Bombyx mori: one gene and its partners. The protein of the gene in region 3 binds, or shares a complex with, the protein of the main gene of each other region. Links are inferred from orthologs where the notes say so. Each region holds a gene or a part of one and is shown on either strand. Other genes may lie near its edges. The genes, in order: tab1, KAT8 regulatory NSL complex subunit 2 and UDP-N-acetylglucosamine--peptide N-acetylglucosaminyltransferase 110 kDa subunit.

Region 1 (11,339 bases), on a different chromosome or scaffold from region 3:
CATCGCTTCAACACGAATGCACCGGACGTCTTATCCTTTAGGCCACTACGACTTCACATACTTGTCGCATCTACCCTTTATGGTAGAAATAGATACCAGTAAGTGTTGGTATGATTAGTGTTTAAGTACAAAAAACAGGTTATTTACCCTGAGTAGGGGGTGCTCACTGGATGAAGTCTGGCAGGGTGCCGCCGCGACGCGCCCTTTCCACGTTCTCGTAGTAACACGCGAAGTCAACGTAGCCCTTGATGCGCACGTGCTTGTCGTACTGGCGGCCCGGGCACGTGTCGACCGGGGACTCCGGCGAGCTGGACTCCATCTCATCTAAGAGCGTGCTGGACTTGGACTGCACGACCGGGTTGAAGCGCACCGAGGCGCTCCTGGGAGGCCCGGGCTCCGCCCCCGCGGCCGCAATAAAGTTAAAGTTCCTTATGAGCAGCGTGACGTGAGTGTTCGATTTGGGCGTCAAGTTGTTCTTGACGCAGTGGGATATGAACTCCTCCTCGATCTCGTGCAGGACCGTTTCGCTGACGGCCTTGAAGTCTGTCTGCTTTCTGAAGTGCTCAACGATCATCTGGGCGAGCTGTTTGTTCGTTTGTTCGCTGCTGCCCCTCGACTCCTGTATGCGTTTGTAAACGCCCGCGCTTACTAGGATCAGAAATCTGAAATGTTTTTTTTTTTTTTAAATTAATTTCATACATTACTGAATAATATTTTCGTACTAACCTGCAATATTGAATATATTTTCGTACTAACCTACAGCTGTCGTCCAGGACGATGGGTCCGTGTATCTCCGGGGAGGCCACCACGGGCTCGGACGAGGCCGGGCTGATGCTGGGAAACGCTTTGTACAGGCCCTTGACTAAATAATTCCCCAGACATCTGGTCCCGGTTTGGTTGCCGAGGTATTGCGCTGAAGAAACGTACATAATCACTTTAATAACACCCTTTATGCAATAAACTTACTGATGGTAGGACCTCTTGTGAGTCCGCGCGGATGGGTACCACCACCCTGCCTATTTCTGCCGTGAAGCAGTAATGCGTTTCGGTTTGAAGGGTGGGGCAGCCGTTGTAACTATACTTGAGACCTTAGAACTTATATCTCAAGGTGTGTGGCGCATTTACGTTCTGGATGTCTATGGGCTCCAGTAACCACTAAACACCAAGTGCGCTGTGAGCTCGTCCACACATCTAATCAATAAAAATAAAAAAAACATTGTGGTTTTCTTCATTTTTCATCCTTAAATCAGATTGCTCTCATTTTTTTCTTTTTCCTTACCTAAGCTGATAGCCTTGAGAGGCTATATCAGCGTAACCTTAACTAGTAGGTGAGCTCACGGGGCTCAAACTGAGGTGAGCTCACGGGGCTCAAACTGGAGTGTTGCTAAGACTGACCCTAGCAAGAGCAGTGCTGCGTAGAATCTACCACCGGATCTGAAACGCGACCCACTGAGGAGATTCGGCGAAAAACTCAGTGGGCTGTGTCTGTGGGTTAATTCGCTCATCGAGCCCTTCGTCGCAAGTGACGGGTTCGACGAGAGGGTTAATTCGAGGAGGATTCGAAATGACGTGTTTAGGGCGATCATCATTGGGCGTCACTTCGGTTTGAGCACCGTGAGCTCACCTACTAGCTAAGGTCGCGCTGAAATAGCCTCTCAAGGCTATCAGCTTAGGTAGAAAAAAAAGACGAATTCACTCTCGCTCTATCTCTTTCTATTCCTATACTATATGCTATTATATTATAGCGTAGTCTGAAAGCGACTATAATCATTCATGGGTTCGGGTTTGAAGTGCGACACAGTCGTTATACAATACATTTAGAACCTACACTGCCTGTCTCAAGACCGGTAGTGTTCTGCAAGTGGTGATGTCCACGGACCTCTTAGTAAGCAATCTAATTCCCAAGTAAACAGTAAGACCTTTAGTTCAATAACCACTACAACTGATAACATAAAAAACATGTACATAAAAAATTGTATACAGTAATTCCCCTTTACAACACGGTGGTCTTATAACGCGTTTTCATATTACGCGATTTCAGTATCTCGTTTAACACGGGTATTCCCCCATATAACGCGGGGAGTTTAAATGTTATATTTATGTACTGTGAGATTTATAATGATTCGTACAATTCATAAATAATTTCGTGTACTTTTGCACATTGTGTTAATAGTGTTGTTATAAAATTAAATTAAATTTATTTATTTAATATGTGTTCCTTAGTTTTGCATTATAAAAACATTGGTTATATTGGATTTAATTTTGTACATAACGCGTTATATAAGGTCATACCATACAAGCGCGTTATACGGGAATTCACCTACAACGTGATTCCTATAACGCGGAACCAATATACCGTGTTATAGGGGGGATCACGGTATATTGTATAAAATGGGTGGAGGTTCAAGTTGCCTAGACAACAAATGACCTAAAATAAGGTATTTGAGAAAAAAAAAACTCACCATTCCTCAGTTTATTAACGTCTAAGCCTAGCTGAGACAGTCTGAGCAGCTCGTCTTCGTTGTTGAGACTGTGGTCAACGGTCAGCTGCACGACCCGTAATACCGAGTTATCATCCGTACGACATAGCAGAGCTCTACTTTCACCTATAAAATTAAATTGTTCAATTTTTTTTTTTGTGTTAGTAACTACAATGGTTCTTGTAAGATAAGATCCCTTCCAGCCCCGTGCCAAAATGGATAAAATTACGATCATCTATTTGCAAATAACTGCCCGTTTATTGTATTGTATCTGAATAATATCAACTAGTAAGGTGTGTAGATGAATAGAAAAAATTAGATGTATTTATAATGTTAGAGGGTCGACTGCTTTAGCTATTCTAAGTGACATATTATATAAGAGCACACTAGAGATAGGACCCGTAAAGAGTTTGAATCATTCTGAACAATATGATACAAAACAAACTATTTAGGGCGAAGCAAAGTATGCAACACTATTTTGCATATGTTACAAGTTTAAGTAGATGATGACCGAGCTTTGCTTGGCCTTTTTTTTTTATAACGCCATCTTGTTGTGTCTTTAAAGCAGTATTATAATAGTAATAGTATTATTATTCGCCAATAGATGTCGAGAAGAGTCATAAATTAAAGTTGATTATTGAAAACACGAACAAAACAACATTTTCTGAAAATAAATCGTAGCTGGATCGATTTATCGCCCCCGAAATCCCCTGTATACTAAATTTTATGAAAATTGTTGGAGCCGTTTCCGAGATTCAGATTATATACATATATATTAATATACAAGAATTGCTCGTTTAAAGGTATAAGATAGTAAGAGCGTCCTTGTGAGGTAGTAAATGGTTTGATTATGGAATTTAATATTTGCTAATAATTTTTTATGAGAGAAGATAGCAATAGTCTAGAATAATAGATAGAAGTAATAGATAGTGGTAATAATCTGTGCATTTATTCATCCTTGGTTGGTAATACAACAAGACTCCCAACTCATGTCTCAGTGGGATACATAGCCCACCTGGTGGTAAGTGGTTACTGGAGCCCATAGAAATCTACAACGCAAATGCACCACCCACATTCAGATATAAGTTCTAAGGTCCTCAGTATAGTTACAACAGTCAGTATGGTTCACATGATTTTATAGAATCTCGGAGCCACATAACAATATTACTACTGAATTTAATAAGAAAACACTCACCAACATTAGCAACAAATAGTTTATTTTTGTGCACTAAAGCTACGACCACAGTAGCACCTCCGGACAGATGCTGGTCTATTTCTTTTAAGCGAGACAATATAATTTGGCGATTCTGAAATTTAAATTAAAGCACTTGGATAAAAATCCTCTGACACTAAAACATAAACATCCACATTCTAGCATATAATATTTTAATTTAAGGTTATTAATAACGATAATAATTGTATTTATATATGTCGACTTTTGTCCTAAATATTTTTATATTTTTTTAATATTACCGTACATTTGAACAATGGCAGTGTGAAAATGAAGTAAAAGTATACCTTGTATTTTATGATTAATATACCTTAAATGTTGTTATATAAAAGAATAATCGAAACTGCCAGTACATTCTAATCTTTTGTATATACAAAACAAAGAAGAAATCAAAATGAGTACCTGAGTCTCACTAGAAGTCTGCAGCTGATATTGCAAACTAGTTCTCTCTGCTATCATTCCATCATAGTTTTCAATGTATGCTTTCTCAACTGACACAAAGGCATTCCTATATATAAAACGAATTAATATTAATATCTCGACCCATGTTCCATCTTTTATACCATCTACGCTCTATTTGCTCAGCGTGTATTTTATTTGCAAAATCTTCCATATATATATAAAAATGAATTGCTGTTTTTTTTTATTGCTTAGATGGGTGGATGAGCTCACAGCCCACCTGGTCTTAAGTGGTTACTGGGGCCCATGGACATTCATAAGGTAAATGGCCCACCCACCTAAAATGCTGTTCATTGCTGACCGATTTGGCTAATTTTGGTCTTGAATTATTGGTGGAAGTCCAGAGAAGGTTTAAATAGAAGATATATATCATGAAAATGCTCGGAATTAAATAAAAATGACAATTTTGTTTTTCCTTTGATGTGTCCCCTCCCCTGTTGAACAGATTCCTTTTGTTTGTTTTAAGTTTATTTTATACAAAACTTTAGGTCTTTTATTTATCGATTGAGGCACTACGAAGTCTGCGGGGTCAGCTAGTAATTGATATTTTATCCTATTTGTATAAAGTATATTTCATAATCCAAAGCAACAATAGTATCTCTCTTATACACCCTTATTTATTTATGATAAATATATATATAGTTTTTACCTAAGTCTGTCTCGTATCTCTTCATCTGTGTTGGCTGAGGGTGGTGGAAATAATATTTCAGCTGCCATTCTTTGCATGATAAGCCTGGCCGCTTCAAGACCATTGTGTGGCTCAAATACTCCATATAAACAACTATGAGAATAACATTTAGTTTAGTTATAAGTTTGTATTTGTATTAAGAAGCGAATTTTGGTGTAATTTATATTTTTTTTCTATATTAAGGTAAACTTAAATGCAAACTTATTTTTAATGCTCTTCATTTATTTAAATAAAGAAATTAAGGATAATATCAACTGCTAAATCTTTTAAGAGTATTTGTAATATCATTTATTCACTATGCAGATGCAAGATGCTTTTTGCAGAAACAGCAATACAAAACAGGGTTGAGGACTTGCAACATTTTGACTTGAGAAAGTTGATATTAAAAGCTCTTGTTTATTTACAAAACTTTAATAATAATTGATGAACTTCGGAATTTAACTACGTATTTCTAAATTTAAATGACCGGGTTTTTTCTTCACCTATAGTTACATTTGCCGTCATGAATTCTATCTTGGACACAATGAAGACAGAGACAAATTTAATGTATTTTTTTAACCCTATACTATTGTGACATGGTTAGATATACAAAAGTTATGATAAATTAAACTTACAAGTTATCCTCTGTTTGACAGAAAAAACATAAATAATCATCGTTAGCATTTGAGTGTCCTCCGAGCTTTGAAAAATACGAAGCTACACACGTATTCCTGCACTTCGGAAGATCGTCAGTCCACGGTCTTGCTATCATATTGCTATTTTTACCACTAACACCTCAATTCACAGCTCAAATATTACTTTTATTTTTTATTTCATGAAACAGACCTTTTGTTGAAAAATGACCAAAATTTCTTAATATAGAGCTAAGACCAAGTTGAGACTTGATCATCTTAAATCATCAAAACGATTTTTTAGTTTTAGAGAATGCTAAATTTTGAATCGGTTCTTAATATTGTCACTTTATCATTTTACTTTCATTTTTACACTAGTTGTACGGCAAAGTTAAATAAATGAAAGTACCTAACATATTAGACATAAAGGTTCAGCTAATATTTACAAAATATTTATTATATTTTCTTCGCAAAAGTAAAACTGAATCGAATGACAGGAATCGAATCGATTCCCAAAAACTGAAGGTTCGTAAACTCAACAACCCTTCTGTCGCCCCTTCTGTGCAGTTTCTATTTTTATTTTAATGACACTTATTTTTTTCGTTCAAAAATTTAAAGTACAATTCTAGAGTTCAGAAGTTTTCCTAACACTATTGAAATTTAATAAAAATAGTCGTTAACTATCGTTTGACTATAACTTAAATTCTTATTTTTGCCACAACATAGAAATTAGATGTAAGAAAATCTTTTTTCTATATTTTACCACTTAGTGTTCGTTTGTTCACTTAACTAACGTCCAGCCCAGTTTTTGTTTTTTTTTACTCATCAAACATACGGTACATTTGAGATAGTACAGTACTAATAGAAAACTGGCATGTCAAACCGTATTTGAAGGCAAGTCCCACGCCTTGGTTAGTGATAATAAGAAAGGACAAAGTAAATATTAAGGGACTGTAATGAGACCATTAACTCTGAACGTCAGCTAATTTTTTATCCATTAAGGCTGATAATGCATAGTATTTTTTTCGTGTTGATGATGCCTTCATTTAATTTTTAAGCCACGATGATTTCATAGTTAGTAATTAATCATCAAGACAGAGCGATGAGACCGGTGTTCGAATCCCACAGGCAGGTACCAATTTTTCTAATAAAATATCTTATCGTATCACACGAAATGTCCATGTAAGACGGTGTAAGATGGTTCCACGGTGACGGAATAACATCGTGCAATAAAACTAAAAATCCGTAAAAATTATGATTTACGTAATTTCTAGGACGTATGTTCGCATAACCCTGCCCGTGTCGGCGGTGTATCGCGTTCCTGCAGGCCGGATCTGACCCAGCGAGGTCCTGGTCGTAGTATTGACCGCGAGAGTCCCCCTAGTTTGACCGAGTTCTGACCCCGGGCGGAAATCGGACGTCGGGTGTGAGAGTGCAAGGGGAGTCGTTTGGTGTAGTAGAGTCCTAGATATATCCTTGAGCCCGCAGCCTGCCTCCAACATCTGCAGACCATCAATTCTCATATACCCCGCGTGCTCCATAGCCGCGGATACCTCATAGGAGGCTCGGCCGTCGTACTGTTAAAGTTGAAACTTGTTAAGAGCTCCGCCCGGCTCTGTGTGCTTAGTGCGAGTTTTATAACGTTCTCGATAGCGTAAAAGTTAGCTCATATTTGTATAGAATGGGATCGTTTGCCTACGTTTGCCGCTAGGGGCACTGTTCCAACTGCATACAGAATTGAGTTCACTTTTACGCTGTCGAGAACGTTAAAAAACTCGCACTAAGCAAACTGGTGACTTCTTATCACGAGGCGGGCCGTGAGCTTATCTACCTATCCTATCAATAAAAAAAATACTTATATTATAGCAGGATTCCTGTCGAAATCTCATTATTGTTTTCGTCTTAAAAATCAGTCCTACGAATATTACTTCGGAACCAAAAATGATTTAGCAGTTCTTTCTTATGTCCCTCGGAAATAGGCCTGCATAATTTCAAAAATATTTTCTGTTCACATATTTTTATCGATACGACGTGGATGATTAAAATGAATACTAACCAACAACACAATCAGGCCACCCACTCATAGGCAACCGCAAAAATCAAATAAATTCATTAAATATTGAAACATTACTCTTTATATACCTACATAACTTACTTATTATTACGTACAATTTATTTGATGCCTAATTATTCACACTAAAGATTTATAAATTGTAATTTGTAATATAAATGTTAAGGAGTATATATTTTTCCTAATGAATTGCACAGAGGGGTTTAAATCTTTCTATCATAATAATAACATATTTATACTTCGACTCCAAAGGACCGCAAAAGTAAAATATAAAAGTACCTATTCTATACTATTCTATACAAAAAAGAACAGAAACCTTAAAAAAGATGCAACGAAAGTGAAAGATAATTCAGTTTTTTCTGAGTTCACAGAAATAGTGCCTCATAATAATGTTGGAGATTCAGTAAGCTCGGTAGGTAGGTACCTAAGTACTTTGAGTAGTAAAGATGAAGTCATCTTGTTACTCAATCAGTAGGCGTTTTTCTATTGCTTAAATAAACCTATGCCTACTAAACTATTTTAATGTCGAAACTCGCGGTTTTTTATTGCGAAATAGACACGTTTAATTTATAAGGTCATGCTACTATTGTCATGAATATGTATAAAGAAATTTAGCCTTTACACGATTACAATAAAGAATTGAATCGTTCGTTCTCAAATTAGCAATGGTTGACAAAAAAAGCGTGTGCAATTCACACGTGGTAGAAGTGAAACCTTCAAAAATGTTGGCTTCAAGATGACGAATGTTAAATTTTGGGAAGAGGATAATAATAATTATAGGTTTTAGTTATAATGATCAAAGTGATACAAAGTTTGAAAATTATGTTACATTTTATTCGTGTTGATTTACATAGATTTATTCAGAATGTTTTATGTACGAATATTAGGTACTAAGTAGTGTAAGTTCCAAGAGAACCACGAATATAAGAACCATTATATAATGCTTCCCATCTCATTTTCTCCCACGTTAAATTTTATAAATTTATGTGTCGTCTCTTTTTTATCGCTTAGATGGGTGGACGAGGTCACAGCCCACCCGGTCCGTGGTTACTGGAGCCCATAGACAAGTACAACGTAAATGCGCCACCCACCTTGAGTTATGAGTTCTAAGGTCTCAAGTATAGTTACGACGGCTGCCCCACCATTCAAAACGAAACGCATTACTGCTTCACGGCAAAAATAGACAGAGTGGTGGTACCTACCCGTGCGGACTCATTAGAGGTCTTACCATCAGTAATTACGCAAATTATAATTTTGCGTTTTTTATTTTTATAACACGATGTTATCCCTTCACCGTGGAAATCAATCGTGAACATTCGTTGAGTGCGTATTTGTCTCTAAGCAATACAATTTTTTAACAAGATAGTGCTCATGAATCTATCACCGCTGAAATGAATACCGCATTCACTGTACCTACCTATGTAGCAGAAACTATGTCTGGGAACGTGGATCAGTGGTTGTAGGTAATATACCTCCTTTAAGTCAGCTCCGGTGGCGTGCTGCGTGATGTTGAGTATAAAAGAAACAGCATCAATTGTAATGAGTATAATTACACCATTTTAAATGCAGGTTTGTCCTTCGAAACAAACATATACTAGATTTAAACTTTATAGGCCATTTAATAATTAGTAAATAAGGTAGTTTAGAAAATATTTTAGAATACAGGTTTAAAGAAAGTGGCTCTGTGAAAGCACTCTCAGGCAAAATAATTCATTTAATAATAGATTCATAAACTAAAATTTGATTTCTGTAATCTACCTTCAGACATGTAATTAAACATTACAATCCATTCCAATTTTATTTACTGGTGGTAAAACCTCTTGTGAGTCCGCACGGGTAGGTATCACCGCCCCGCCTATTTCTGCCGTGAAGCAGTAATGCGTTTCGGTTTGAAGGGTGGGACAGCCGTTGTGACTATACTGAGACCTTAGAACTATATCTCAAGATGTGTAGCGCATTTACGTTGTAGATGTCTATGGGTTCCAGTAACCACTTAACACCAGGTGGCCTGTGAGCTCGTCCACTCATCTAAACTTTAAAAAAATAAAATAAAATAATTAAAATTAACACGAGTCATTGATTAAGCAGTTTATATTTTCAGATCGGGTAGAGTGCAAGGATATTGTGGCTTGGCTGGGCACTGACAGTGCCGATGTTGAAAAACATAGACAAAAGAGCTATTTGATTACTTTTAAAGGCCAAAATAATTTAAAATTGCTATTAAATACCATCATAAACAATTTATAATCAAATAAAACTCAAACATCCGACCAAAGTTTTATTGTTTAGATAACCTTAAATCTTCAATCATTTACATTTTTTTGCTATTTTTTATATATTTTTTTACAATAATTTTAGCTCATCATCTTGAGCTACCTGTGACTAATTTTATAAACCTATGTTTTTTCAACTGATAAAAAACTTGTAAGCAAAATTGGACATGACTAACAATTTTTTCTAGAAAATACTTTACATTTTCAAAAAATGCCTCCTTTATCTTAATACATTCATACCCTTAACTGTTTAATGTCAATTTTAAAACATTTTGTATTAATTTCTCAACAGTAGGTTTATAACACTTATCTAATGCCTATTTGAGAATCAATATTCCACAATGCTGAAAAGGTTGATGATCTATCAAAAACAATTGCATTTGAATGGGGCTGCACGGTTTCCAGAGCCATCACTTAGAATTAAAAATTTAGTGTCCCCGTACATCACATCACTCTTTCCAAACAAATGCAATACATGATGAAGTTCATACACCCAGGAACGTAATGAAATAAAAGTGAAAATCATTCTTTTGAGACACAGATGGCTTCGGAAACCCTTGACATGTAGGTGAGCAAATTAAAACTATACTTGTGGTTAATTTAATCAGTTTTCTTGTCAGCTTTGGTTTCTGATTCGGGTTTCTTTTCTTTCTCCTTCTCCTTCTCGTTAGTTACAACCTCCTTGGCCTCTTGTTTTGAGGCTTCGTCAAAGTTGCCGACGAGGTTAGGTACCTCGTCGTCTTCCTCGAGTGGCTTAGGCGCGGCAACACTCGACGCAATCCTTTTCAGTCGGTTCAAGCCGTCGGGTCCGAGCTGGCTGAGGATACCCGGGAGCATCTCTGTGGTCTGCTTATTCTCCCCGTGTCCGGTAATCGCGAACGTGTTCGCGGCCAGCGACGCTTGTGCCTTCGGGTTGTTAAAGTGTATCACAGTACCGTCCTCTTTGATCATATTTACCTCTTCGATGCCAGGAATTGTGTTCACTGACAACTTTTTGAGCGATGACTGCAGTTTTTTGTCATCTGTGGCCGCAGTAACGTGAACAACCTTCTTCTTGCGTCTCGGTGTGCCCTTACCGCCGATGCGTACTTGCGACTGGAGTTTCTTTAATTTTTCGCTGTTCATTCTGCTGTTTTTAAGCGTAAATTGTGTTAACGTTAAAACGGGGCACTTTTTTATGACGCTATTTAGTTATTACAAGACGCGACAGTACGAGTTTTCCATGTAACTTGATCGTATGCACGTGTTTTGAACACCGGTTAGTTACAAAGGGAAAATGGTGGATTTTGACGAGAAGTTATTTCTGACTTGCAATTTTTGCATATGGCTACAACTGATAAGTTTCATTTCACATTAGTGTGAATGCATTGCTGAGAAAATACAATTATTTGTGAATTTGATTTTAAGCTATTTTGTAAGCCAGTCAATATGGATATTTTGAGTTGATATTTTTAAATAATAAATTATAAATACCTTAGAAATTTAATTTAGTAGGTTTCTTTCAGAGGCGTCAACATATTTACGTA
Region 2 (10,814 bases), on a different chromosome or scaffold from region 3:
CAACATTATGCATCAAGATTTTATTACCTAATAATATATACCAAGCGATCATGTTTTAACTGAGATGTAAGCATAATATGGGCACAGTTGTAATCTTTCATAGAAACCTATATTTATCAGTATCAGATAAGTCTGAATTCAGTCTATTTAAAAGCGAAAGGTTCCCACTAAGCAAAATATTACAAAACTGCATTTCACATTTATGTAAAACAGTTGTTTATGTAGTGCATTGAATAAATCATCTCAAATTCATGTTATTTTATTTAGATTATATTTTGTTCTAGATCCTTCCATCCTTTATTCTAGAAACATTATTGATGAATTGATACTCGTTTGTAGTAATGACCTCTTTCTATACATTTACTTTTTTCTTTGCATCTGTTCTCATTGGCTCGCTTGATATCAACAACCTAATGCATATCAGCATAGTGTGTTCACACTTTGTTTATTTACGTTTTCATTAACCTACGTGTTCGTGGAAATGACAAAACAACACGTACGTCACGCGTGCTTCAAAAGTAATACATATTTTATCTCGTTTAACTACACGAGTACCAGGAAAACATGATAAGCTCGGAAGTGAATCGTTGAGAAGTTCCAAGAAACACGAAAGGTTATTTATCCCGGTACGCGGGTAAATTTAGAGCGGGCAGACAGGTCGATCACACAGGTCCTACGTCAACCGCGCAGGCGTCCCGACAGCTGTCGAACACTGACCTCGAAAAAAACCACGCTTCATACGTGACCCTAACCTAAATACAAACACTTATGGGCATTTTCACGTTAATACGCAATCATAGGCGTATCCTTCAGTTTAGATATTATGGTTTTACTCACGGGAAATCCCAGACCAGCAAGGGAAAGTGTGTGAATGACGCCGTTATGTACACGACATTTCGTCACTTTTTCTAACTCTTGTACATGATCACTGCACATTCTGACGCTTCACAAATGTTGATTACCGATATTAGAGGACATTTTAATTAATGAAAACACTCAACAAAGCACTAAAATACACATTTTAAACACATGACTCGACAAAAACATTGGGTCGTAATCGAACACTTTTTCGAAAAGGATACACTTGAAGCCTCTGTCCCATATCCTGTATTAGATTCGCGGCCTGCTGCCGATAAGCTAACTCTTTATCTGCATCTAAACCGCATTTTCTGCTTGGTGAATTCTGTAGCTGTTCTTTTGTAAAATACCATTTTTCTTGCCCACCAGCCATTGAACGGATGTTCGGACTGCGCGCGAGAAAGCACGACGGATAGAAGTGCCCCGTCTAAGTGCGTGAGTGGGAAAGGGACAGCGCTAGCACAGCGGCAACCGGATAAAGACCACGTTAACATTTGAGTGATTGATAAATTAAAATCCTAACATTTTATCAGAAAACACTGTTTTCATTCACCATTAATGAACTAAAAAAATATTAAAATTAATGGAATAACAAAACAACAAGAAAACTACTTAAAAAAAATACATCACAACACGATATTCTGATTAGGAATTTCAAGCTGACGCCATTGTAAAACTTGGTAGTTAACGCAGTGAGGTCTCCGGTGACAGATTGATGATCTGCAAAAAACACAGGTACGTTTCACTTTATCACTATGTTTCTTTTAATAGAATAAGAATAGCTCTTTCTTTTGTACATATTTTTAAAACGCATTGCTAACTTTTCAATGAAAAAAATCAACTTCAAATTTACGGACCTAAAACTCTGTCGCACTGTGCAAATGGCCGACCCACAACTGTTTACAATTCACCTCACTATTAAATTCGAGTTAAAATGCCTGATGACTTAAACTATTATCGGTCATTTCATAATTAGTGAAATTATTTTATAACACGATTAGTTTTAGTCATTACTTTTTTCAAATTGTTGCAAACTAGTTTATTTTTATTAAGAATCACATCTGACCTAACTTTAGTGAACGAAGTTTCGCGCTACGTGGATAACTACGAACAAACAATCGTAATTAAAATATTCTAATTTAAGATGATTACGCAACTTTTACAGAGGTTTCATATGATTTTTAAAGAAAACATTAGAAAGTACGTATTACAGGCTGCTATTATAGCAAAAAAATGTTTCCATTCGGAAGAGAGTATGCAAACACCTTGAACGCTCATAATATCAAGATTTCTGAACGTAAGTAAAAAATAAAAAATCAAATGCGCTAATTTAAACAAACAAACCAATTCATTACTTAGTTCATTAAACATGTAGATTTATAAAAAAATATAAACATCATTTCATTAGAACACGAGAATTTTTTGTATAAAATAGTATATCGTAGTCAAGTCAGTAGTTGTATAGGCTGTCGGAGTTAATTTTTTTAATATCATTTCTTAGACTTACACTGCGATTACGTCATTAATAAAATTGTGACAATAAAATATTAAGCACCAATTTCACGGGATCCAAATTTTCATGTTTCGCAGGTACCCTCCTAAAAATCTAGATTATAAAAAAAAAACATTTTTGTACGAATTATCATCTAAATCTGTCCACTGCTATTTACGTGATTACGAATTTTTCCTTTGTAAATCAACATTATTGTAGGTTAAAAATATACTGGGCTCCTTCCGGTACCCGTTTCATTAACAATTAGGACGACTTGTTTATCAACAAAAAAAAATATGCAAACTTATGTAATAATTGTAACAAGACGTAACAAAAACAGTATTAATTTGGCGATACGTACATGCGGGATAGTACAAAAATTTAACAAACTCAGGGCCGTATTAAGTACGTATTTCATAGCATTAAGTATTGCATAATTTAATTTGCGTGATTAATGGTGGTAGGACCTCTTGTGAGTCCGCACGGGTAGGTACCACCACCTTGCCTATTTCTGCCGTGAAGCAGTAATGCGTTTCGGTTTGAAGGGTGGGGCAGCCGTTGTACTATACTGAGACCTTTGAAGTCATATCTCAAGGTGGGTAGCGGCATTTACGTTGTAGATGTATATGGGCTCCGGTAACCACTTAACACCAGATGGCGGTCCACCCGTCTAAACTATAAAAAAAAGAACTGCCGTCTGGTCATTTCAAGTTATTGATAAGTTCTTTTCGTTAAGATCAACGTATCATCGTATTATCAGCCTATAGCAGTCCATTGCTGGACTTTGGTATCTCGAATTGCACGCCATTGAGCACGATCCTCGGCTTATCTCATCCAGCTCTTGCCAGCCATCCTGCATAGATCGTCACTCCATGCAGCTTGGAGCATGGAGCTTGGCTCCAACGGTTATCGGTTCTCTAAAACTACGAGCAGTAAATAACCTCAGTAACGAAATAAAGAAGTAGGAATCAAACAAGATAGGCTTCTTCGGTTAAAAAAAAAATTCTAACCCCATGACAATTTTTTGGCGATATTAAGATAGTGGTATGCGGCGGCATTCATGTTGTAACGGCAGTAGTGGCCATAGAACAAAAGATATTTGACAGATGCCCGAATATCGCTAACAATAATTTTAAGGTAAGTTAGGACCGTCGGTCTACTGAGCAGCTACACCAGCTCGGTGGAAGATCCCCCTTTGTCGTTAACCCCCAAATGTCTATGGGCACTGACAAACCAGGTTGCACCAGGTGTACAGGTGAATTTACTCCCCCATCTGGAATAATAGCATTCTTTATCGATACGATACTTGTGAGACCTACAATGGGTCTTACCTTCGATAATTTCAATTGTTGAATTTATACATATTTTATGAACACGATTGCAAACTCAACCGTTGCTACATATTAATAGTTTATTATTACTAAGCGATTAAAATCTGATGGCATTATGTCACATGTACCGATCAAATTTTAACGTCATTTTTTATTTGAAATTTCAGTTTCCTCGTCCGTTATGACGTCACAACCTCGTAAATTAATTCACCTGCCCAAAGTCAGGATGCTCAGTAGTGGGGGACCAACAAAATCCGGTATCCGGATAACAAATGTGAGGACTATAAAGCCTCCAGACCCGGAACACGTGAAGAAACAGGAAGAGGAGAAACTGAGGGCTCAGGTATATAATAATAAATTATTTCACTATTCTAATCTTCGGTTTGAGCGCCGAAAGCTCACCTACACGCTAGGATGAAGCTGAGATAGCCTCTCAAGGCTATCAGTATAGGTAGGGAAAAAAAATAATATTCTAATCTACATTTTGACTCACGTCTGAGAACGTAGCTGCATATTCACACTAGAGATGAAACGGATATCCGGTAACTATCCGGTATCTGGCCTATCCGGCCATGTTTTCACTATCCGGCCGGATACCGGATAGTTACCGGATATCCGTTTCATCTCTAGTGTGAATATGCAGCTACGTTCTCAGACGTACATCAGTATCTGGCCGGATTTCGGATGGTAAAATTAAAAAAAATCTCAATGTTATACAAAAGGCAAATAATACCACAATAGGCTATGGACAACTTTTATTTTTATAATCGCACGTCAAAAGTGATTGTTTTATCAATTAATTTGTTTAATACCTACTCAAAATAACAAGTGGTAAATTGTGGTGAATGAATACCAAATCGTGTCGTACCGAGTCGTCAGGATCTCCGCTTACGTGGGCCAACACCCGAACGCGCACGAATATTTCCGAAAGGGCCGAGTATCCGGTAACCGAATATCCGGCGCTCCGGCCTCGCAGCTTGCCGAATATTCGGTATCCGGCCAAACCACTATCCGTTTCATCTCTAATTCACACACCCAGTACACCGATTCAATACTCCTCTGATGATGTGGCTAATGAAAAAAAAAAACATTTTCAGGTCCAAAAGGAGATCGCCTCGCGGTGTCGCTCGTGCGCGTACAAGGGCTACGAATGCTTGCAGCCCGTGCTGTCTGGTCGGCAGTACTGCTACAGACATGTGCTCCGCGACCCGACCGCCCCCTACAGGCAGTGCGTGCACAACTATGCCAACGGGGAGAGGTGTACGTTGCCGGCACCCATGGACACTAATGATCCCCGGGACCCTGGGTTAGCTTTTAGATTTTTTTGTCTATCTCGCGACCCCCTAGTCAGGATATTGAAGGTCGGATATCCTCAATGTTAACTTTTTAAATTATAATTAGTCACCTATGTTTTTTTTTGTTATTGCTTTAATGGATGGACGAGCGCATAGCCCACCTGGTGTTAAGTGGTTACCGAAGCCCATAGACATCTATAACGTAAAAGTCGCCACCTACCTTGAGATTTGAGTTCTAAGATCTCAAGTATAGTTACAACGGTTACCCTACCCTTCAAACCGAAACGCATTACTGCTTCACGGCAAAAACAGGCGGGGTGGTGGTACCTACCCGTGCGGACTCACAAGAGGTCCTACCATCAGTGAACCGTGTTCCATAAACACGAGTTATATCTCATATTATAAAATTGCTCATAGTTATTATGCCTGTGATGATGAATATAATCAAATAAGATAAAACGCTAGTCAATAAACAAACAAATATATTTGAAAACTAGCGGCCCGCTCAGGCTCCGCTCGGATCTTTCACAAAAATACAATATTTGAGGTTGTTTTATTTTTTAAAATAAAAGAACATTTATTGCGGCATAACTATAATAGTTTGACATATGCTGTCGCGACACTTTTTATACTTACTAATGTGTTCTACAAAGTCGTAGTACATTATTTTATTCTATCATCAATAGTTTTCGCAGGGCACTCGATGTAAAGAATATTTTAGGTATTTTTTTTACACCTTGGGTTACATTATTGGAGTTTTAGTAAGGATCCCTAATTTTTTTCAAAAAAGATTATAGCCTATATCACTCGGGAGTAGCGTAGCTTCCAAACAGTGAAAGAATTTTTCAAATCGGTTCAGTGGTTTTTCGGAGCCTATTCAATACAAACAAACAAATCTTTCCTCTTTATAATATTAGTATAGATATAATTCTTGATGGTGAATTCCATGACGTTTCCAGGTTGTGTTTCGAGCACGCCCGCGCCGCCCTCGCCCTCCGCCAGCGCCAGGCCGCGCCCCCTCCGCCCCTCCCCACCACCGAGACGCTGCTCCACCAGCTCAGCCACTACATACAGTTAGTACACATCTGTAGTACGGACTAAGTAAATGACTGTCAGATAACCCAAGGAAAATTGCCGGTCATGTTGTCTATGGCTACAATAAGTGACACAGCCAAGTGGAATTCTGGAGGAATCTGTAGCTGTTCTGTTCTAAAAACCAATCAGGTTATAGTGTGTGGGGCATTGCAAAGTGGAGCAAAACGCAATGCTCTCCAAACACCAATCACCATACTCATTGACAAGTTTGCATATTTTATCATCATAATTATTTACTGACTCCAGTCATATTGCAGATAATTTATTGAATGATATACATAATGCTCACAAATGTATTAAAAGCTTGTATCAGCTGATTACACAAAAATTATGTTCGAGCGATACAATTTGTTCCCATTACCATTGCCCCATTGTTGCCAAACAAAATAACGAATACTTCTATATTAATATGAATGTTTTAAAATAAATTTCCAGAGCAGAGAGGCCCCGCACGACGTCATGTGCGTCTTCAGTGTCCGTTGTAAGCGACCCATCGGAACCAGAACAGTCTTCTCCGACAGTACTAGATCCATTCAGTGAGTAAATTATTTTAAAATATTATTTGATTCCTATGTAATTTGGTTATATAGTATGGTTTTATTATTTTGGCCCAATATCCTAACCAGGACCACTGCGAAGTAAATATTTTTTTAAACTATAATTACTTATCCTCTAAATTCAGTTAAATAAGTCCTCGATCCATCTGCTATTATGTCGTCATTAGAGTTCTGGCTTTCGCACCCTTGAATGCGTTTTCCATTATAAAGCTCTTATTACACGGTAGCAGTACTGGAACAATGGTACCAACCATACAGACTTATTATATTGATGCCTTCAGCTCTAACACTAGGAGCAGGCTTAGGGACCCCGGTAACCGTACTCGTCGAACTCGATAAAGACGTCGACGTGCAACCTTACCTAACCATCAGCTCGCTGAGTTTCTCGCCGGATCTTCTCAGCGGCTCGCGATTCCGATCCGGTAGTAGATTCATGCGCGAAGCAGCTGCTCTTGAGTTGTCAGGACTCCTTCGGAGGCGCTCGGGCAGCTGTTAGCAAATCCCATCCCTCCTGGCTGAGCCTTTGCTCGTCCACCTGTCCTGGTGAAACTGGAAAGGCCTCCAGGCCACTTTCAATCATAAAAAAAAACTTGTTATAATAAGCCGCTTATGTACAAGTATAAGAACTGTTAAAACTCATTTAAATATAATGTGACTGTATGTTATTTATCTTAGATAAGGTGTTATAAGGTCTCACGCACTGTTCATGGTCCGCCATGTTAAAAAAGTCTATACCTCGAATATATTCCTTGGGTTTCTCGAGTCCTGGATGTACTTTAATAATGCCCATATTCATTTCTACTCATCCGTGCCCACGAAAACTGGAAAGTAACACAAAACTGAAATTGACCAGATTAAACCAGACAATTGATTGTACATGTCTTGATGGTCAATAATAATGAACTAGAAGTCCCGCAGTAGTCGAAATTCGACTATAATTAATTGGAATTGTAAGTTTGTACACTATTATGATTGTATTTTATACTTCTATAATCACAAATTTAGCCAAGACTACACTATAAAAATATTAACAAAGACAAACAATATTTAATCTATTCTCAATTTGACAACAGACGTCACGAACAAAAGTTTGACAATAAATAGTATGCATGCGCGTGTGCGTCAAATACATGGTATGTACTGTGTGTGTATTGTTTTCTTTATTGATTTAATGTATCTTTTATGCATTTTTTTAAAAAAATTATAGCATTGTGCACTTCTCTATATTCTCTATAAGTGTGGAAAATTTCATACTCCTCCGTCCGCGCAATTTTCGTAAAAAGGGATACAAAGTTTTTGCTTCGCGTATTAATATATAGATAATACTTTTAACTACATTGCAAGTGTAGATAACCCACAAACTAGTTTCCTTCTGGTTTTCATTAATTAGTTAATTTAATTACAGAACAAATAGACGCGAGGTCGGTGAATGCATCGTACTCAGCGTCCATACAAGAGTACTGCAGTGCCTCTGACAGTGACGGTGACAGTGTCAAGCTGGGGGAAAACGGGGAATGTAGCTCGGGGGACGATGAACTCGCACCTGTTGAAGAGCTACCATTATGGTAAGTGATCGTTTTAAGAATGGCAGCAATGCATTTCGGTTTGAAAGGCGGGTTGTACTGAGATCTTGGAACTTATATCTGAAGGTGGGTGGCGCATTTACTTTGTAGATGACTATGGGCTCCGGTAACCACTTAACACCAGGTGGGCTGTGAGCTCGTCCAATCATATAAGCAATAACAAAAAATAAAAAAAAATTACTGATGTAAGGGAATCGATTTTAAAACTCAAGCCTGGTTCTTGACACAAAATAGAAAAATAAATTTACTTTTAATTATATTTTTTAAGGGATTTTATGACCTGTTAACTAAGACTTTTCGGTCATGTCTTATTTTAATTTATATTCTTATATTTATGAAAAATAATAAAATGGAGTGAAATGAAATGAAGATGATTAATGTGAGACATTAATCAACTGGGATGAAATTAAATGTAGTGAGATGAGATGATATGAGGTGAAACATAATCTCAGTAAAATGGTGGTCATTTATTGAGATTTTCTCAGTGGACTTTTTGGAGGATCCCGAGAAGTTACGTTCAGCGGCTTTGTTTCATTTTCCCACATTTGTGCACTTTCACAGACACTAAATAGTTAATAAACCACCGTCATTACACATTTAAACCCGAAGAAACACTAAATAGACAAAGTAAAACAAATCACACAACTTCACTCCTCGCGTTCTCGCCAAAAAGTCACTTATATTGAAAGTTTTAATCAGCTGATACATGAGGTCAATGCCCTTACAGTTAGTTACTTGGGCCTTTTTTTTAGATTATAGATTAACTGGTTTTGCGAGGCTTGACGACAAATGGAAGATCTTTCACCGAGCGGGTGATATTGTTCGGTAGACCGACGGTCCGAATGTTGTTGTTCGAAACTTGTATATATGCGCTTTATCTTGAAAATGTCGTAAGCGAGATTCAGGCATCTGTCAATTATCTTGCGTTGTATGATGGCTACCCGCCACATGGTTATTATTTTTATTGACTTCAATGGTAGATTTTTTTTCCTACCATAGCTGATAGTCTTGAGAGGCTATTTCAGCGTAACCTTAACTCTCTAGCTCACGGGGCTCAAACCTGACGACGTTGCTAACACGAACCCTAGCAAGAGCCGTGCTTTGCAGAATCTACCACCGGATCGGAAACGCGACCCACTGAGAAGATCCGGCGAGAAACTCAGTGAGCTGTGTCTGAGGGTTCATTTACTCGTCGAGCCCTTCGTCGCAAGTGACTATATATGAGTCGTCTATTATCAAAGGTGGCAATCTGTGCATTTGGACAAAAAAATGTTATTGATATGTCAATACAGATTGATTTGAATATAATCGTCTCCTTCAAAGAATACGGTTCAAAACCTGCATTAAATAAAGGTTAATAGTTAACCTGTTATTTATCTAAGATGTCGTTCCGAAGAGTTTTGTGACTGCCAATGGAATACAAAGTCAATAATTCGTTTTTCTGATTTACCAATAATTATCCAAAAGTCAGATTGCCGGCTTTGATAATAGTCAACTCATATATACATATGCTGCTTAGTGTATCAGTATGCAATTACAAAATTGATATCTGCTTTAATCTATACATCTATACATATAAATAAAATTGATATGAATATGAATTTTGACAATTTTTGTCTGTCTGTCTGTTTGTTCCGGCTAATCTCTGGAACGGCTGGACCGATTTTGACGGGACTTTCACTGACAGGTAGCCGATGATATAAGGAGTAACTTGGCTACTTTTTTTAGACTAGCTTCGCCCCGCGGCGTCACCCGCGGTACTACAATAACCGCGGGTAACGTCGCGGGACTCAGCTATCAATAATAAAATTTAATGTTTCGATATATAAAAAATTTCAGGCGTGCCGGTGTGTACACCGCCGAAGAAACTGTAAGTGAAGCGAGAAATGCACTAAAACTATTGCAAATGGCGTACGTCAATCAAATGGGGCGTCTCCGGGTGCTGCTACAGATGTCCCGGGCTAAATACGTGAAGGCTCTCAAGGCTGAGAAGGAACACTACTGTAAGCTATACACTATATTTTTTCTATTGGGGCCAATCACACGTCAACTCATGTCCTACTCTTGCATACCTTCCCTCTCTCTCTCTCTGGCACAGGCCGGCCAAGTCACAGGAATCAACCTAAATGCCACCACCTTCCTTCATACAAGATGTAATTACATACATGATGAAATTGGCCAAATCGGTCCAGCCGTTCTCGAGTTCTAGCGAGACTAACGAACAGCAATTCATTTTTACTAGAGGTCCCGCAGTAGTCGAAATTCGACTATACTTAAATTAATTTTATACTTCTATAATCACAAATTTCGCCAAGACTACACTATAAAAAATATTAACAAAGACAAACAATATTTAATCTGAATTTGACAACAAATGACAAAAGTTTGACAATAAATAGTATGCATGCGTGTGTGCGTCAAATACATGGTATGTAGTGTGTGTAATGTTTTCTTTATTGATTTAATGTATCTTTTACGCATTATTTTAAAAAAATATTAGCATTGTGCACTTCTTCTCTATGTTCTCTATAAGTGTGGAAAATTTCATACTCCTCCGTCCGCGCAAATTTCGTAAAAAAGGATACAAAGTTTTTGCTTCACGT
Region 3 (10,814 bases):
TTTTGATAGCCTGTGGTCAAATTAAGAATAGATTACATAATGTTTGTCTATAAAATTATTTATCTATCGTGTAGCCTTGGATAAATTATGATTACAGAATTATGACAATCGAACCATAATAATGTTCAAACTTATAATTTAAATTAATTATGATCGAATTTCGACCTCTGGGTGACCCCCCAGTATTCTTTATCAAACAAATAATTCTTAAAAATTTATCTATAAACATATTAAATGATAAACTGCTGATATTCAAATAATGAAGTCAATGAGAAGAATAAATTACTTTTATAATATTTTTGTTTTGCATTTCAGAGACAAGATTATTTTAAGATACAAATATTTTTTAATAAAACTTTTTTTGTTGCTCAACAACAACATACAACTATGAATAATGCAACATGTACTTCTATTAATAAGTAACAATAAATTCAAGGATTTTTTGGTCCTATCATTAAGTAAACAATGGGTATGTCATCCTGACCTTCCTAAGTTGCTACTGTTATCAGGTTTCCTTAAATATTAGTATCATTGGCCAAACTCTAAGATAGAGTTTAGTAATATCATTTTCTTACTAATCTGAAATCTCAATCATAACGGATCCTTCAAGAGGCAAGTGTCATTATATGCATTACAAAGCACTTAATACCAGATAGGCCGTAAAATCGTCTGCCCTGTAAAGTAATTACTAATAAATTAAATTAATGTCAACTTACTATTCTCTATCTGTTCCCAGTCTTACAGCTATGTCTTGGTATTCTTGTCTCGTTCTGGCAATGAGCTCGGGACATCCTAAAGTATTTAATTGAGAAGCTGCCACTCTGTAAATTAATTATTTATATCTTGGTCAAAAGAAATACATAATTTATTTTATAAGGACTTTTTTATTCCATTTTTGGTAATTCCAAGCAATTATTAGTCATGGACATCAGTAATGTCGGGAACACAGTCAAAGCACTGTACGCTGTTGAGGAAACATTTTAAACCCTTTTGACAGTCATGTCATATATTGGCTCATTATTTATTGTGAAAAACCAAAAGTATAATAAATAGTATATAAAAATAATAGAAGAGTCAGAGAGATTTTAAAATTAAAAAGTATTGTGTTTTAATTATTAACATATAGTATTGTGTTTTAATTATACTATATAAATATCTATAAGGCAGTTAATTCCAAATTGATGGATTGACAAATAGTTTGTTACACACAACATGGTACAGCAACAAATACAAGCTTATTTTCATATCCAAAAACACATAACTGATAAATCGTTTCTTCCAAAAAGAACTCACCGAGACGCCAAAGTCTCCCCAGGAAGGGTCACAACCGGTGTGCCAGTCCATAGGATGTCCATACTAGTTGTGTGTCCATTACAAAGTGGAGTGTCGAGACACACATCGGCTAACTGTCCGCGTCGTACGTGCTCTTCTTTGGCAGCAACATTTGAGAATATTATCCGTCCCGGCGGAAGACCTTTAGTAAAAATATATGCAATAAGATTAAAATAAAAAACACCTTAAAAGTTGAATTAATTGGACTACTATAAGTGCAACTGAGAAGGCAGTTGCAAACAAGTTTGTTAAAGTTAATTATTTAGAAACTGCTGGAATGCCAGCAGATATTTTTACAAAAAGTTTAGGGTCTTTAAAACATAAACATTTCAGTATAAATGATTTTTCCGAATTGATTGATGTTCAATCGCAGGCTGATACTAGTTAATTTACTGATTGGAAGAACAGTTCGAAATTAATCTTTACAAAATCTATCTTTCGAGGCAATAATAGCAATACTTAGTATATTCACCATCTTCGTTTTAGAAGTAATAGTTCTAAAATGTATGACTGTTTGCACAAATTATATCACGAATAGAATACTCACCAAGTTGGTTGGCAGTGGATTGTAAATTGGGTTCTCCTACGGCCGGGAATCTTAATAACCATAATACACTGTTAGGTACATGTTTCAGTATGTACACCCACATGTGTAGAGTTAATGGGTCAATCTTATACAATTGGTTGAAGTTGCAGTACACTACGGCGTCATCCGGTAAGCCGTATTGTTGTCGAGTTGTAATCACTATAGATTGTGGTACTTCCTCGCCCGTCGCAGCCTTGTTGTTCGTCTGCGTAGTAGCTAAGCCATTTTGAAGAATAACGCCATTTACGGATGTCTGAAAATTGTGGAAACAAAAGTTACATATTTGCATAATTTTTTTCAAACCATAATAAAAAAAATGGAAACAAAGCCAATTTAAAAAAATGGAAATCTGCTCAGAAATTACGAACGGAAATTATCAACTTTTATTTTTATGTTAGACAGCAATTGCATTGAATGGACATGCACAACCCCACATTAAAAAATAACGTCGTAATTTATCAGGTCTGCTTTTGCCGGTTTACTTCTTTTAATTTAAAAGACTCGATAATATTAAAAAGTTACCTGTACTTGTCCTGATGCAATCATAGTTTCAATGGGTGTCGTCGTTGGCAATTCGGCTACTTTCAAAGATATTTCAACGGGTCTGGCTGCTCGCACGATCTCTTTTATTTCTTTAATGTCAGTATTTTCCACAAGGGGCGACAGATCGGTCGCGTTAATCACAGCAACATTGTCCGCGACACTTCCCAAATTGTTGTGGGATTTAACTTTGTCGCTCAGAATCAGACGTTCTTGTAAATGTGGGAACATTTGCTTGTGATCGCCAACAAAATACGTGTGTGGCATGTACGCTAGTTTTTCGCTATATTGGCTGGCAAGTTCCACGGGTGACGTCACTGCATCAGTAACTAAATAGTCCATGTAACTAGCCCCGCTAGTTCCCGGGTACCCGAGCCACATTACCTGGACCGGGGCTGGTCTCAAAGCGAAAATTTCATTTCGCGCTCCTTTAGTGTATCCATTCATATTGACCAAGATATGAATACCGTCTCCGTATATTTTATCGGCTGCTTTGCCGTTACAAGGCATCTGAGATAGATCGATAAAATGCTCCGCTTCCCTGGCGATTTTCGATCGGAACGTTGTTCCGTCGTCCGGACTGAGGGCATAGCAGAATATTTCCACTTTTGTTCGGTCATGCAAACCAGGTACCGATTGCATCAAATGCGATGTCGGATGGTTACCGAAATCGCTGCTTACGTACCCGATACGAAGGCGGCCTTGTAAATCTCTAGGGAACTTGTAAGGGTTTTTGTGCAACACTTGCACTTTCTCCAAGCAAAGGTTCGCGTGACGGGCGGCGATGGCCTTCCTAAAGTCATGTGTCAGCGGATACAACATGGAGTGGTGCGGATGTACTGATGGCAGTCTGTTTTTCTCCAGCTGCTCAGCGACAATGCTGACCAATTTTTTCATTCGAGCCTCATAATCCGTCCAGTCACACACTATTTGTAAACAGTGGGCTAAATTGCAATACGCATCTGGGAAGTCTGGTTTAAGCTTAAGCGCTGTTCTGTACGACTGTATAGCTTCAGGAATGTTACCAGAATCTTTGTGGATGCTGGCCAAATTGCTATGAGCATCCGCAAATGCGGGATTAATTTGAATCGCCCTTGTGTAGCATTGCAGAGCACCGGCTACATCTTGCATTTCCTTCAGCGTATTGCCCATGTTGCTATACGCATCGGCAAAGGTCGGCTGAATACGTATAGCTTCCTTGTAATGCATAAGGGCTTCGTTTAGTTTCCCTTGTTGTTGCAACACTGAAGCCAGATTACTATGCGCCGCCGCAAACTCCGGGAACACTTCTAATGCTTTTAAATATAAACGTGTAGCCTCCTCGATGTAGCCTTGTTCCCGTTTTATATTAGCCAGATTGTTGAGGGAGTCTGCATGAGACGGACAGAGACGTAACGCGGTATTATAACACTCTTCAGCATCAGTCACTTGTCCCTTTTCTTTGAGTGCATTAGCTAAATTGCAATACGCGTCCGGGAAGTTCTGTTGTAATTCGATGGCACGTCGATAAGTATCGATGGCCAAGTCAATCAGTCCTTGTTCGTAGTACACGCAGGCCAAATTGCCGTGCACGACGGCATTATTGGGAGATAAATTCAAGGCTCTCAAATATGCGGCGACGGCCCTGATAATCACGAGATACTAATTTAAAACACATTCAAAAATAGATTAGAGCGAAATATTTCATATTTTATGATGGTTACGTACCTGTCAAAAATTCTAGCTTCTTTTAGTACATTTCCTAAATTAATGTACGCGTCTAAGAAATTGGGATCCAATGCGACAGCTTTTTCGAAATGATGAATTGCCAACCATATTTCACTCTGCGCATTGAAAACGCAACCCAAGTTGCTCCAGGCGACCGCGAAATCGGGTCTAGTTTCGATTGCCTTCAAGTAACAAGCCTAAACACACGAAAAAAATAACCTTTAACTTTTGAACTTTGATTTGTGTTTTAGCGTGATGTAGTACCGAGATATCGTTACGCCAGAGCATTTCTCTACACAACGTTGAACGATGCCGGTGTTCGACTCAATTCAGATTACCGAACATCATTCACGTACAACATAAAAACCAGAATTACGCCAAATCGCATCCTAACAAGTCACTACGCCAAGAGCATCACATCAGTAGTAGGAAATGCAAACGACCGTCAACAAAAATGAAGTCTGTAATCACTGAAAAACCAAAGCAGTTAAAAAAAACGAAAAGACAAACGCTTCCACTTCCTAACCGATGGACAAGATGAACACGACAATAATCAAATGAAAACGTATCCGATAACCTGTTGTAACATTATTTCTTTGAAACCTTTTTCCACTTTACCTTCAGTGGTCACGGTGTCATCGGGGCGGAAGAGCGAGAGTCGTACCAACCGTTACACAGCTACATACAGCACCGGTCACACCTACACTTGTCTTACCAGACAACACCTTGTGAAAATATAATAGAAATTAGTTGATTTCTTTGTCAAACTTTTTCACCCGATTCTGTCAATGTAACTGATTATCGCAAAACATATTTATGATTGGATAGGATCATTACGAACTCGCGCTGTCATCGAGCAGAGTATTGTGACAGGCATGATGAGAATGACCAAATCATACAAATAAAATCACTACTGATACGCTACTTGTCTTCTCTGATCCTCCTTGAAAATGGTAAAATAATAAAAGCACATTTCATTAAAATAAAATAAAAACAATGAAGCCAACAGGATCTTTATTAATTATACTTAAGTTCGACATTACAAAATTACAATTAGCGCAAACTCCGATTACGCAATATTCTAGTCGAACGGATTTTTATACTACAATAGATAGTATCAGATTAAATTCACGAAGGTCATGACATTCAGTTTTTTTCAAATCTTAAATACCGTGCAACGTTCGTCGACTAGAAGATTGATGATTTTACGCAGATGCTATCACAAAATATCTGTACAAGGCGTGCCAAATATATTTTGTGACTTCTATAAGACTGCATCGTATGAGATATTTTTCAGTTAAATCTTCATAAGGATTTCATCTCATTCAACGGGTCTGCAATGGTTCGAACAGGTCGCTCATAAAACACAAAATTTAATTTAAACTCGTGAAGGCGTTTGATGAGAAAACACTGTTGGAACCATCACAAAGGGGACTTCGTTACGCGACTGCCATGTCTAGAGGATTTACGCAAGAAGAAACTACGCTTCGCCGAGAGTGCGCTAATTTAATATCGTACAAAGGAAAGTTCTAGAGAATCCTGTTAACTTTAGAGCGAACCAAACAGTGAAGCAGAAAATTATATTTACCTTTGCCTCGTCTAGTCTTCCGAGGGCTTTGAGCAAATTGCCCAAATCGCTTCTGACGCAGTACAAATCCTGGAACAAAATTATTCTTTCTCCAAATCAAACAAACAAATACGTTTCAATATGTCTAGTATGTTTATAAAACTTTTAAAGCGTTATATTCATTACTAATTATAAAACTGTCAGATATTTCGGAATCAAATATCCAACTTACAACTTACTTAACAAAGTAGCTGATTTTAATGTGCTCAATTTTAATGTCTCAAAATGAATGTTGGCATTCATATACTATCGGTAACCAATAAACACCAGGTGTGGACCGTAAGCTCATTCTCCTATCAATAACAAAAACAACAAAAACTACGCACGGATGCTAAAATTACAAAATCATATACCCGTATCTTTTGATTTAAAACTGGATAACCTATTACGTAAGACTACATCGATATCTCTTTTATTATTAATCCGTCAAATGTGTAATGACTAGAAACCTTCGAAATCATTCTGGTGACTTGGTATTGTTGTTGTTCTATCAAAAATAATGTAGGCTCTAATAAACGTTTAACAATAGTTGAGCCGAGAGCATGCTTATTCACCTAGGACAAAAAAATCGAAAGAGAAAAAGAACCAAGTCCAACGATTGAAGCATTATTTTTATTTGATACTAGCTGACCCGGCAGACTTCGTAGTGCCTCAATTGATAAATAAAAGACCCAAGCTTTTGTATAAAATAAACTTAAAACAAACAAAAGGAAGGACGGGGGACACATCTAAGGAAAAACAAAATTGTTATTTTTATTCAATTCTGAGCATTTTCATATTTATCTACCTTTTAAGCCTTCTCTGGACTTCCACAAATAATTCAAGACCAAAATTAGCCAAATCGGTCCAGCCGTTCTCGAGTTTTAGCGAGACTAACGAACAGCAATTCATTTTTATATATAGAGATAGATAGATGTGTCAACCCAATTTACTATGGGCCCTTTGCTATACAGTTCTATTTGATTAACGGAAGAATCCAGTGGAATATTACGAGGCATACGATGACACAAACAATAAATTACAAATTGCCGTTTGCGAAACAAGGAAATTAATGTCACCGTATATGATAATTCAGTGAAGGTCACAATCGCCTTATCTTTATCGACGTGTGAACGTAATATTTTAAGATTTTAAATCGAATTCGCTCAAATAATTTTAATCATACGTTTTAATTCAGTGTTTTTAATACGCTTTTATTAGCTTCAGACGTATGTATGTATGTATGTTTGTGTGTAACGGAATCTTTGAACATGATTTTGACCCTCTTCAAAACGTCGCATTAACTCGAAATTTGGTATACTTATTAAGGAGCGATGAAAATTCAATATTAAAAAAAAATAAAAAAAATATTTTGAAAAAATTTAAATTCAAGTAAAAAATGAAAAATAAATAATAGTTTAAAAAAAACTAACAAAATACGCTTTTCTAGAAAATCTAACTAAAAAATAGAAAGTAAATTTGAATTAAAAATAGTGTAAGAAATCATTATTTTATTGTAAAAAAGGGTGAGGTGCTTTTCAGGATATTATCAAAATATTAATTCTATTTATTCACCCCACGCTTTTTCTACAATAAAATCATTTTTTTACTGTGTAGGTATGTTCAAATAAGATTAAAATATATCGTATAGCGAAGCGTTAGATATATAGTACGTGTGTAGGTTACAAGATCACGTCAGTTTATATAAGACGTATTTTACACGAGCTCATTACTTAATCTCTTTTTGACAAGCGTAAAGTCGCCGTTTGCGTATTTACAGAAAGACAAATTGACAAATGACAAATTATTAATTCGAAATGAATACACGCTATTTCGATGCATTTCCTCATAATTTACGTCAATCATAACAATTAATCATTAAAGCTTTACATAAAAAAACTTTTTTGGTCTAGGAGAAACAAAATTGCCAAGATTTAATACTTGAATGCATGCCATCTCGAAAGTTTTCGGTGATATGATGACGTCACAAAATTAAGAACCTAAAATAAAGTACTGACTTCGTATTCATTTCAATAATACATAACTTTTACTGGAACTAGAACTCAGGGTGAGAGGTATACAATACTGCCCGTTTCCGCCCCGAAGGAGTGTTCACTTTCGTCAGAAAAGGCGCGACAGCTGTTATTACAATACAAATGAGACTTCCTTCGATCTTACCCGTCGCTTGCGACGAAGGGCTCGACGAGCGATTTAACCCACAGACACAGCCCACTGAGTTTCTCGCCGAATCTTCTCAGTGGGTCGCGTTTCCGATCCGGTGGTAGATTCTGCGAAGCACTGCTCTTGCTAGGGCCAGTGTTAGCAACACTCCGATTTGAGCCACGTGAGCTCACCTACACGTTAGGCCGAAGTTGAAATAGCCACTCGAGGCTATCAGTAAAGGTAGGAAAAAAAAACAAATCGATCTAATGTTTGTTGATAGATGGCAGCATTCAAATCCGTTTGCTCCGTTAACCATCAAACACACTCATTCGGCTACGCTGTCATAGCCCTCTCAGCTTAGGTAGGAAAAAAAACCGAACACAGGATAGGCCATGACCATTCTGCCAAATTGGGAAGATAAAAAAAATTATGGTGACGTTTGAAGTTTGGGACCGTTGTAAAATACAATTAAAACAGAAATTACATCGACCGCCTTGAATTACTAAACATAGAAAATCATATTATTTTATATTTTATTTTTTCACTTTAGTACGTTGACTCTGGTGCATAAAACAATGAGAGACTGATATTGCATTTAATATTAAGTTTTGGCAATACAATATAATTAAGTAAGTAAAATAAAATCAAAGTAAAGTAGAATCTCGCCTATTAAATGCTTTTATTGAAGATTACAATTTGTTGTTAACATATCAACATTTTTTTGTAATTATCCTAATATGTTACTCAAACAAGCGCTTGTGAATATACGTCACGTTATATTCTAATTTCCATAAGAACGTTGATACGAACTATATTGACATTAAAAGTGAGTGAGTATTGACATTCGCACTGGGGTGAGGAAGTAAGAAAATTTAGTACGAATTTAACGTGTTTTTTAAACTATCCATTTATAATAGAAGCCAGGTGAGGATATGTCAATTGAAAAGTACCATCGAGTTCAAAATCTATTCTCAAAAACCGGCTTCGTAAAAACATGGTAATAATAGTAACGTAGCAGGCATTGAATGCATTGCAGGGGTAGCTGATTCACTGGGGATCAACACTCAGGTATATTTCCAACCAATCGTTTTCTTTTTAACAGCGGATGTGAATGTATATTCCTACGTAGTTAAGTCAATTAATACATCGCTGCAAACTTTTTTCTTGAGCTTTTAATCAACGTTTCATTTATAAACTGTCTACATTTTCTTGAATAAAGTGGTTGTCTTACAAGAATATTCAGGAAAAATTACTTGTCCCTTATTGACCCTTTGCAATTTTATTATTGTTTTTAATTTATTCTTATCAGTGTGCAATACGCGTTATATTCTACAGTTAAATAATGCTCGTATCTTATTCCTATGAATCAACGAATACTAGTTGTCGAATACTAAAGGTCTACACGTAAATATATCCAAAATAATATAAAATTTAAATTATATTTACAAAAAGGCTTACTCGCCTTTTTAGAATCTTACGAATTACGGTTTAAAATTACCACTGCCTGCTGGATACATAATACAATACAAATGCTTAGATTAAGCTAAACTAGAGCATACTCCTTTCACTTCGAAGCAAACAATACGCGTTGTGTGTTTCACTTATTTAATTTCATTCAAAAATACTTTGTCTTATTTGAAATTGAATAGTTCATGTCACAATGGTAGACGATCGATATGACGAGATATCCAATGAGCTGCAACCACATAATTACCGATGTTAACAAAAAAATCGTATGAAATTTTCCAAGCCATCAGGAAAACAAATAACAAATGATTCATTTGACATTATGTATAGCTCATGTTATCAATATATATAAAAATGAATTGCTGTTCGTTAGTCTCGCTAAAACTCGAGAACGGCTGGACCGATTTGGCTAATTTTGGTCTTGAATTATTTGTGGAAGTCCAGAGATGGTTTAAAAGGTAGATAATTAAGAAAATGGTCGTAATTTTCCCTTTGATGTGTCCCCCGTCGGTCGGATTACTTTAGTTTGTTTTAAATTTATTTTATACAAAAGTTTAGGTCTTTTATTTATTGATTGCGGCACTACGAAGTCTGCCGGGTCAGATAGTAAGAAATAAAATTAATATCAGCATGTGCCCGCCCACATGGAAAACAAATAATACTGATTAGAATCATCCCTTAAAAACTTTTACATACTCACAGGGTTATACTGCAGTGCGGTAACGTAAGCCTGCACAGCTTGCTCCATATCGCCGGCGGCAACGAGAGCCGCAGCCAAGTTGATGTATCCATCGATGAAGTCCGGCTTCAAACGGACAGCGTGACGATAGTTCTCCAGCGCCTCCTGAAGCTGCCCGCGTTCTTTGTAAACATTGCCCAAGTTGCTGCACGAAAAATTAAAGACAAATTATGATCATTACAAACAGGCTAGTGATCCTCGTGTATGCACCATAGGATCCTGTTTCGATTAATTATCGGAGTCAGTGTGATTATTAAATATGTTAGGTATTGGAATACTAGATATACCACAACCCGAAATGATGATCACGACCTCTCTACTAAGAGTGCAAATGATTGAGAAAATAATACCCTGAGACTATTGAATATTAAATTTAAGTTATACAGTTCAACATTATTCAGCATGTGTTGTAGTTTGAATTGATTATGAGCCGGGTGTCTGATTTTATAAACAATTCTGTTTTAAAATATATGAATGTTCTTGAATGTACTTATGACAAAAACTTGTTAGTTAAAAAGCATGATGAGGTAGCTTAAAAAAAAAGAAGACACCATTTTAACCCAAATACATTGTTCATTTAAAAATCTCCTAATTTTCAGTAGTTTTAAAACAATAGACAATTTTAATTTATAATAACATTGACACAGAAGATCTAGAAATTATTACTAGGTAGT

The links.
Region 1: the proteins of UDP-N-acetylglucosamine--peptide N-acetylglucosaminyltransferase 110 kDa subunit (region 3) and tab1 are in contact, whole or in part, in a crystal structure (PDB 4AY6), measured with the Homo sapiens proteins. The link is inferred for Bombyx mori from reciprocal best matches to the Homo sapiens genes OGT and TAB1. Residues at the interface, in NP_858058.1 of Homo sapiens: Asp441, His506, His508, His509, Asn567, His568, Pro569, Gly641, Tyr642, Thr643, Lys644, Ala646, Gln849, Phe878, Pro904, Val905, Ala906, Pro907; in NP_006107.1 of Homo sapiens: Pro389, Val390, Val392, Pro393, Tyr394, Ser396, Ala397, Gln398, Ser399.
Region 2: UDP-N-acetylglucosamine--peptide N-acetylglucosaminyltransferase 110 kDa subunit (region 3) and KAT8 regulatory NSL complex subunit 2 share a complex: the UniProt entries of both Homo sapiens proteins name them as parts of the NSL complex. The link is inferred for Bombyx mori from reciprocal best matches to the Homo sapiens genes OGT and KANSL2.

The regions. Positions count from the first base shown.
Region 1 is NC_085132.1:1,619,590-1,630,928, forward strand, and holds the start of tab1 (tak1), read right to left. Parts: upstream 6,057-11,339; 5' UTR 5,610-6,056; coding exon 5,473-5,609; intron 4,952-5,472; coding exon 4,820-4,951; intron 4,220-4,819; coding exon 4,114-4,219; intron 3,788-4,113; coding exon 3,676-3,787; intron 2,607-3,675; coding exon 2,463-2,606; intron 914-2,462; coding exon 757-913; intron 663-756; coding exon 164-662; 3' UTR 148-163; exon of another isoform or gene 1-147. Other genes in the region: transcription factor BTF3 homolog 4, read right to left, coding at 10,414-10,938. UniProt on the Homo sapiens protein: Key adapter protein that plays an essential role in JNK and NF-kappa-B activation and proinflammatory cytokines production in response to stimulation with TLRs and cytokines.
Region 2 is NC_085108.1:5,585,114-5,595,927, forward strand, and holds the start of KAT8 regulatory NSL complex subunit 2, read left to right. Parts: upstream 1-1,478; 5' UTR 1,479-1,593; intron 1,594-2,023; 5' UTR 2,024-2,091; coding exon 2,092-2,155; intron 2,156-3,848; coding exon 3,849-4,024; intron 4,025-4,778; coding exon 4,779-4,987; intron 4,988-5,935; coding exon 5,936-6,049; intron 6,050-6,506; coding exon 6,507-6,607; intron 6,608-8,033; coding exon 8,034-8,193; intron 8,194-10,050; coding exon 10,051-10,214; intron 10,215-10,814. Other genes in the region: cyclin-T, read right to left, coding at 1,083-1,231. UniProt on the Homo sapiens protein: Non-catalytic component of the NSL histone acetyltransferase complex, a multiprotein complex that mediates histone H4 acetylation at 'Lys-5'- and 'Lys-8' (H4K5ac and H4K8ac) at transcription start sites and promotes transcription initiation.
Region 3 is NC_085129.1:5,326,278-5,337,091, forward strand, and holds part of UDP-N-acetylglucosamine--peptide N-acetylglucosaminyltransferase 110 kDa subunit, read right to left. Parts: intron 10,286-10,814; coding exon 10,102-10,285; intron 5,823-10,101; coding exon 5,754-5,822; intron 4,363-5,753; coding exon 4,166-4,362; intron 4,083-4,165; coding exon 2,441-4,082; intron 2,172-2,440; coding exon 1,880-2,171; intron 1,475-1,879; coding exon 1,294-1,474; intron 822-1,293; coding exon 717-821; intron 1-716. UniProt on the Homo sapiens protein: Catalyzes the transfer of a single N-acetylglucosamine from UDP-GlcNAc to a serine or threonine residue in cytoplasmic and nuclear proteins resulting in their modification with a beta-linked N-acetylglucosamine (O-GlcNAc).